Linked DNA regions of Oryzias latipes. The protein of the gene in region 1 purifies or fractionates together with the protein of each later gene. This does not show direct contact. Links are inferred from orthologs where the notes say so. Each region holds a gene or a part of one and is shown in the gene's direction. Other genes may lie near its edges.

Region 1 (4,433 bases):
TTTCAGAATAAAATTAAAAATGTGGTTTTCATTTTTGCAACTGTAATCTGATTACTTTCGAGGATCTGATTACTCCCATTTCTCTGGGTTTTGAGGGCATGTAAACCAGTTTGGCAATCGGATTATCCTGTTAACATGATCACTTCAATAGTCTGACTGAATAAATCAGAGGATGATAATCAGATTTTCGGTGGTCACGTCATCGGCTTCAACCACCTGTGGTCCGGGATTCGGTTCTGACGCCACAGAGCACAGAGCGCGTGCAGCATCTCTTCGTGCGTCACGTGGTCTCTTTTCTCACGATGATCAACCTGCAGGTTGTTAATGGTCGACAAACATGTTTTCCTTTTCCTGCAGCTCGGGCAGGAATGACGTCATCAGAACTTACGGACGACAGCTCGTCGCACCCCAGCACTCCGTAAAAATCCTCCCGGTCCTCCGGTTTACTGCGCAGAAGGGAATCCATGGCTCTTCTTTTACCGGACCGGATCTCTGCGGTTCTGATCCAGGAAGGTCGATGGACCAACTCCCTCTTCCTGGGATGCCGCTGAGGTTCTTGGTTCTGGTTGGACTGGGATTCTGCTGATAAATCAGCTGAGTTTAAAAGAACCGAACAAGCTCTCACTTTCTCACCAACATGTGACGTGGGTTGCGTTCGAGGACCCTCCTTTGTCATGGGAGGAAACACTCCCGTTTTGGGTCATTCCAGTTAATACTAAACCTCAAAAAAATAAACTCAATGTGTAAGTATATATTGTAATTATAGCGTTTATATTTTGATATGTTTTCAGAATGCTGATAGAGAAGTTCTTGATTTAAATACATTTGATTCAGTTTCTGCCTTTTTATGCTGGAATTCTCCAAATCCGTCAACAGAGGAAGAAAACGCTTTAAACTAAAAAAATCTAATACTTTTTACAGCAATAAAAAATAACTTTACTGAGAATGTTTGCTTAAAAATTCAGTGTGCAACTGTTTTCGTGGTTGTGATTTAGTGTTTGATTTACCAAGTTCATAGTGAAAGTCTAATTTTAAATAAGCATAAAAACCTTTAACAAGCAGAAAACCTTAACACTCGGTTTACTTTTAATACGTTTAACGTAATATGCAATAATGGTAATAATAATGTTCATGCATGCAATTTTATATCAGAGCTTTTTTTTAAAGATGGCTTTTATTTTTATAACTAATTATTAGTTAGTGTGACGTCTGCTTTGAAAAATAACCATTGCTAGCAGATAACTTTCTGGTCACTTGTAAATTCTTTGTCTGATACTGAACTCAATCTTATTTATTAGACATATTTACTTCGATAGTTAATGCTGCTGATAATCTTTAAATGAGGTGTTTTCACCTTCGTTATTTATTTTTTCCTTATTATTATTTTTGCATATGTTTTAATGTCTTTCTTTTGTCCGACCGTTCATGAAGGCATCAGTCATTTGTTATGGTAGACGTCATCACGCGCGTTATGCAAATGAGCCAGCTGTCTGCTCGGCGGCTCCTGCGGGCTGAAGATGGCGGACGACGAGAGCAGCCACCGAGCGGCCTTCTCTGGAGCCTGCGTTGCGGACGAACCCGCCGCTAAGAGATCGAAAATCACTCCACCGGACGACCGCGTCTTCAGATCCATCGAGGCGGAGCCGTTTTCCTACGTCTCCCCGGCCACGGAGAGCCGGGAGGCGGCGGTGAATTGCGAGCAGCGGGCCGAGAGGGAGGCGAAGCCGGCGATGGCGGGGGAGCAGGCCGCAGCGGGCGGAGACAACAATGGGCTGGGACTGCTGGGATGCGAGCCGCCGAACCCAGCCGAGAGGCTGAGCTTCGGCTTTGGTTCTGCTGAGGGGAGAACGGGTGAGTACTTCTGGTTCCCTGACGAAGGGCTCCGTGTTTTCATCGCTCGGAACGGCTGGTTGTTAGCCCGACGTACCGAAGATGAAAGGAACCGGAAGCGGCAGGAAACAAACCGATGCTCGGCGAAGTTCTCGTTCCTGTTCGAGAACTTCGCCGACTTTGACCACGTGACTCGTGTTGACCTAAAAGTCCAAACTTTGGCGGAACTAAACCGTTTAACCCAACTGGAAAATAGAGGTTTAAAAATCCATCAATCGAGTTCAGTCAAAAACTGAACTCCGGGATTTAATTTAAGGTAATTTCCCGGATTTTCTTATGTAAAGATAATTAATTATGAAATAAAAGCTCCACATTTATCCAAACATTAGAAATGATGAATTTCTAATTAAAGTTATTAATCTCAATAGAATAGATTTAGGTGTCATTAATGAATCTTAAGATCCATCAGTTATTGGTTTATTTATAACATGGAAATAGAAAACAGAAATCAGGAATTTTCCTTTATATTAAAATTAAGAAATTAACCAGGAATCAATGAATTCCCTTTATATGATTGAAGTTCTATTAAGTTGAGGTGGCTCCAATCAGAGCAGCTCCTTCAGCTGCATTTTAGTCATCCTTTCCTGAAGCATGAATACGGTCCGCGTCGTGTGGCGGCAGAGGTCTCGGCGTTCGGCCTTTGACCTGCCGGTTTTGCCCTCTTCAGGCTTCCTCGGGGCTGACGATCTTCCCTCCAACGGTCTCGCCGTCACACCAGAACACCTTAACGACGACGATGACGGATCCTCTCATGCTAGTTCCAGCGACTGGACTCCGCAGCCCCAGATCGGTCAGAATGAGGCAGGAATGTATTTTCCGCGTCTCCCTGCAAAGCCGTTGTGAGCTCAGGTGTGTGCGTGTGCAGGTTCCTACAGTCTGATCCATCAGCACATCAGAGAGACGGACCCCAGGGCCATTCTGCGGGACCTGCTGCCCGAGACCATACTCCCACCCGATCTGGACGACATGACCCTGTGGCAGATCATCATCAACATCTCAGAACCTCCCAAAAGGAAGAAGAGAAAAGACGTGAACACTGTGGAGGACGTGGTCAGACTGCTTCATGAGAGCAAGAGGATCATGGTTCTGACCGGTGCAGGTGTAGGTGTTTCAGTCCCCAGAAGGGCTTTTTCTGCCTTCATGTTGGGTAAAGAAACGGTAAACACCGGTTTGCTTCGCAGGTTTCAGTTTCCTGTGGAATTCCCGACTTTCGCTCCAGAGATGGGATTTACGCTCGGCTTGCTGTCGACTTTCCCGACCTTCCCGATCCGCAGTCGATGTTCGACATCGAATACTTCCGACGAGACCCCAGACCGTTTTTCAAGTTTGCTAAGGTTGGAAGGTTTTTTTTGTCTCTTCCTTCTCTGGTCCGGCCCAAGTTTACTAAACTAAAGCCCCCAAAATGTTTGTGACATTTAAATGATTTAACTCACACTTCTGACTAAATTCAGATGAAAAACATATTTCACTATGTGTCTATGAAGCCTCTCATTCATCCAGGTAGATTCCATCATAGTAGTGGGTTTAGGGGCCGTCATCTGGACTTAAGAGATGGTTCGTTGTGAAGGTCCTTCACATTTCCAATTAAATATGATCTTTTGTGATCTCCTGTTTGACCCTGAAATGACCCAGAAGTGACCGGCATGCGCAGAAGAGTCCTCAACGGTGACCGACGTCACTGTTGTTTATGGAAGTAGCTAACGTTAGCAATGGATGTCAACAACAGTGTTGTCAACAGCAGAGCTATTTTTGCTTTATTACATTTATTTTCACAAAGGAGCCAGAATAATTACAATCTTCTCATTTTAAAAAGAAATTTAAAAAGGAGGAAAGTTTGTGGCCATGGCGTTTTTTGAAGCAGTGTTAGCCAAGTCTGTACAGAGAAACGTGTGGAGTGGTGGGATACTGATGTGAGGAGCCAGGATCGTCTGTACCCTCAGCCATTTAGCTGGAAATGTTTTCAAAAACTGCCCGGTTACGGTAAGAGCCCTGGAGTTTGGCCTGAATAGAGAAATATGAATCCAATCGGTGACCTCACTTCCCTAACACTGACTGGTCTCAGCAGCATCTTCGCCATGGTTGATGTTTATGATCTAGTTCCTGCCTACTTCAATGCAGAATGATGACGTTTGTAGCGTATCGATGACGTACGGGTCGGATTCATGTGGCCTGGCCGCTCAGACAGAGGTCGAAGAGATCGGATACGTATTCGATTCAGGACCACATACCAAACTGGCTTGGGTCGCATTCGAAAAAATCGGATCTGTGTCGTTCAGACTGTCATGAAAAGATCAGATACAGGTCGCATAGGGGCAAAAAATTGGAATTGGGTCGTTTCAGCCTGCAGGGTGAACGTAGCCTTTTAGGCCCGTACACACCGGGACGAATTTCGTGCGCGATATTTGCCGGCGTTTAACGCCTTGTGACTAAATAAAGGGCACCAATGTGAGTGTGCACACCGACGCGAAAAACGCCACGAGTAAAAGCGTCATTTTTTAAAAAACGCCTCGGGTTCGTTTTTTTGGTTTGACGCACCGCGTCAA
Region 2 (3,309 bases), on another chromosome or scaffold:
TTTTTCATCCCAAAAAATGTTTGTTACAAAGCAATCTTTTTAATAAGGAACACTGCAGTGTATTATTGTTTAAATGCACTATTCCATTGTTCACAAAAACACTATAAAGAGTAAATCAAACCCCAAATTCCTGCTAGACGGCTGCGAAGAATTGAGCATTCAGGTTTTTGGCATTTATATCAGTCAGGCTGAGAATTTCTGATTTATCCTTTTAAACTTGAATTAATAAGACCACGATTAGAATCCATCTATGATTTGGTTTAGCAATGTTTCATCTTTGAGATTTGCAGCTGACCTCTTTATTTTTCTTGGCCATGAAAAAGTTTGTCCAATAATTATGGCGTCTGAAACAAAGTAATTGGGAAATTTGCTTTATTTTTTACACACGCTGCTCTTAACCTTTTTTAAAAAAAACTGGATTAGGTAGCAAACTAGTGATCCAAGAAATGCTGTTAATCTGTGGAAAAGAAAAAGTAAATCAAAGTTTTCAATTTTTCCACACACTGCCTTTTGTGTTTTTGTTTCATTGAAATGAATGATGATCTCCTGGTTTACTTTATGTAAAATTGTATTAACTATAAAATCTCTATTCTTCAGTCTTTCTTGCTCCTTAAATGTGTAATTAACTAAGCCCTTAAAGCTGACTGGGACTACTTTCTTTTTCACTACTGAGACAAAAATCCCATATTATTGGTCCTTGAACCCAAAGTCTCAGTATTTTTCTGTTTATATGTCAAATGTGGATCTTTTGTATCATGTAATGACACCCCGCTGTCAGCCCTTAACACATGTCTGCTTTTCTCCTGTGAGGTGAGTGAGAAGAAAGATACAAACAATGACACAGCTTTGCAGAAGAAACAGGTAATATAACACCAGACATAATTGTTTTTAAAAAGAAACAATGTCTAATTTTTTCAAATTGTTTTAAAGAAGCTTGTTATATGTTGCTTAGCCCGGTTGATTTAATGAAACTCTGAAACACAAGCGGCATTTATAAACCAATCAAGAGACTTATTAATTTGCTATTAATTCTGTTCCAATCATGAAGTCGAAGTCTGTTCGTGAGCCGAAATATCAACCTGCGGCTGAATCCTGCATGTCATTAACCCCGTGTCAGTTAATGCCCTTATCTTCCTTTGTGTTCAATTCAGAGGAAGACTCTAGATCTCAACCTCCAATCTGCCACAGCTCCTTCCAGAGGCAAAACCCTCCCCACGCCGGTACAAGTAGAATTTACCCATTCTGAGACCTAATTAGAACTGTTATCATACTAGCTTGACTGTATCGCTCTTTAGCTCAGGTTAGAAGTGCAGCTGAGTCAGAAGAAGAAAGTCGTGGCGCTACAGAAAAAGGTCAAGATGCAGGGATTTAGTAACAAGTTGGTTGTTACATTTTTTGGGGGGGTTTTGCTTATCAACACAGCTTATAATCTGTCAAAGAAGTATGTAGTCTGTTCAAGTTTCAATAATTTTAGATATTGAATGCAATATATAGAATCCTTCTAACTGCATAGAGGATAAGAGCACAATTCTGTCGGTAGTAAAGTCATAAGGAGTGAATAAAACATTTGGATAATTTTCCTTTGCTTGTGCAGGATTTTCAGGGGTTAAAGTAAAAAAAAAAATGTCCTGGTCAAATGTTTATCTATTTTTCCCCCATTTTAAAAGGATTTGTAATGATGTATATTTGCTGCAGAAGAGGAAAGAGGTGGTTCCCCTGGTGACTCCGGTACCACCCGCCACCCCTGTGCCCGCCCTGCCGAGCTCAACTGAAACCTCCCAGGCGGCTGTTTTCCCTGTCGTAAGAGAGCCCCCCCCCTTCAAGGCGCGGGAAGACCTTGAGCCGATTCCCACAGTCACAACGGTGGAGCAAATCTTCTTTTCTTAAATCATCATGAACTTCTCTTCTAGGTTTTACAGTTTTAGGAATAAGCAGCTGTTTGTCTTCTTTTGGCTGTAGAACGGCACCGCCCGGCGTCTAATACCCCCTCAGCCTGGTAGAAAGAGGAAAGCTAACTGTGGGGGTCCTGATGAGGTATGTAGCAGCTCGATTTTTAGAAGATTTTAAAAACTCGTCAAAGTGCAAAGGTTTCATTTTGTTACTTGCATTAAGATTCTGCCACCATGTGTTCTCTAGATGATAAAGGTGTTGCAGTATAACAAGCCTCAAAGTGCCGCCGTCTTTCTACCCCCACCAGAGGTCTGTTCATTTACCTGTTATTGCTAATTTATTGTGTATTGAAGTCCAAAATCAGCTGTTTATATTGCTCGAATAAATGATTGACTCTGGTTAATGTTGATCCAATTTTGTTCTCGGTTGGTAAAATCAATATCTATGATTGATCTTTACAAAACAGAATCTTGTTTAGTATAACCCTGTGAAACCGTTTTGTAACTTGGTTTTAAGGATCAGCTGGGACTAACGGCCACTGTCTTCGTTTAGGACTCCCAAGACAGTTCTGATGGTATACCGACAGCACCCCGCATGACCGGCAGCCTGGTGTCAGATCGCAGTCACGATGACATCATCACCCGCATGAAAAACATCGAGTGCATCGAGTTAGGCCGGCACAGGCTCAAGCCGTGGTACTTTTCGCCGTACCCACAGGAGCTGACCACTCTGCCCATTCTCTACCTCTGTGAATTCTGCCTCAAGTACCTGAAAAGCCTCAAGTGTCTCCAGAGGCATCTGGTGAGATTTTTGGGGCTTTTTTTGCTTCTCACCTTTCCTGCCCTCTACTGTTTCACTGCATTAACAAAGCAAACAGTTCCTAAAAAGAATAAAAAGTGCTGCCCTCTTCTTACTACCAAGTATTTGTGAAAAAAACATTCACGTCATTAAATCAACACTTCTGTGAGGCACAGTGAACTTAAACTGACAAAAATGAAGTGCTGTGCAATGAAAAAAACAAATTACTATTCTCGTGATTTTACACTGCGAACCCGTCTAAAGACTCAGTGACATATTATTAAGGTGTGTTCTTATATATTGACAAAATACGAAAAGCATTTCCCGTTCAACAATGCAGTGAGCATCAGTTGCATTAATTTTGCAATAATAATTTATCATCCACATGGTGCAGGTGAGGATAAGGGAGACTGACTGAGAGAAATGAGCAGCTCAGAAAAATTCAGGCTCTGCAGGAACCTGTGATGCTCCTTTTTTTCTTTTTTAAATTGCATCTTTTTTTCCATAATTCAGTTAAAATAAAAACCCAAAAAATGGTTCTGTTACTTTCGAAAGTAACATATCAGCACAGATAAAACCCAAACGGCACCCATCCCTAAATTTGTGTCCCCTTTAAGACAA

The links. The genes of interacting proteins can lie anywhere in the genome.
Region 2: the proteins of sirt1 (region 1) and kat5 purify together in Homo sapiens (affinity purification with western blotting; 3 studies listed by BioGRID). This does not show direct contact. The link is inferred for Oryzias latipes from reciprocal best matches to the Homo sapiens genes SIRT1 and KAT5.

Annotation. Positions count from the first base shown.
Region 1 is NC_019873.2:29,790,710-29,795,142, forward strand, and holds the start of sirt1 (NAD-dependent protein deacetylase sirtuin-1), read left to right. Parts: upstream 1-1,482; 5' UTR 1,483-1,517; coding exon 1,518-1,851; intron 1,852-2,557; coding exon 2,558-2,680; intron 2,681-2,755; coding exon 2,756-2,991; intron 2,992-3,071; coding exon 3,072-3,224; intron 3,225-4,433. Other genes in the region: dnajc12 (dnaJ homolog subfamily C member 12), read right to left, coding at 389-676. UniProt on the Homo sapiens protein: NAD-dependent protein deacetylase that links transcriptional regulation directly to intracellular energetics and participates in the coordination of several separated cellular functions such as cell cycle, response to DNA damage, metabolism, apoptosis and autophagy.
Region 2 is NC_019872.2:15,158,622-15,161,930, reverse strand, and holds part of kat5 (histone acetyltransferase KAT5), read left to right. Parts: intron 1-810; coding exon 811-861; intron 862-1,151; coding exon 1,152-1,226; intron 1,227-1,295; coding exon 1,296-1,352; intron 1,353-1,695; coding exon 1,696-1,863; intron 1,864-1,959; coding exon 1,960-2,034; intron 2,035-2,136; coding exon 2,137-2,199; intron 2,200-2,442; coding exon 2,443-2,691; intron 2,692-3,309. UniProt on the Homo sapiens protein: Catalytic subunit of the NuA4 histone acetyltransferase complex, a multiprotein complex involved in transcriptional activation of select genes principally by acetylation of nucleosomal histones H2A and H4.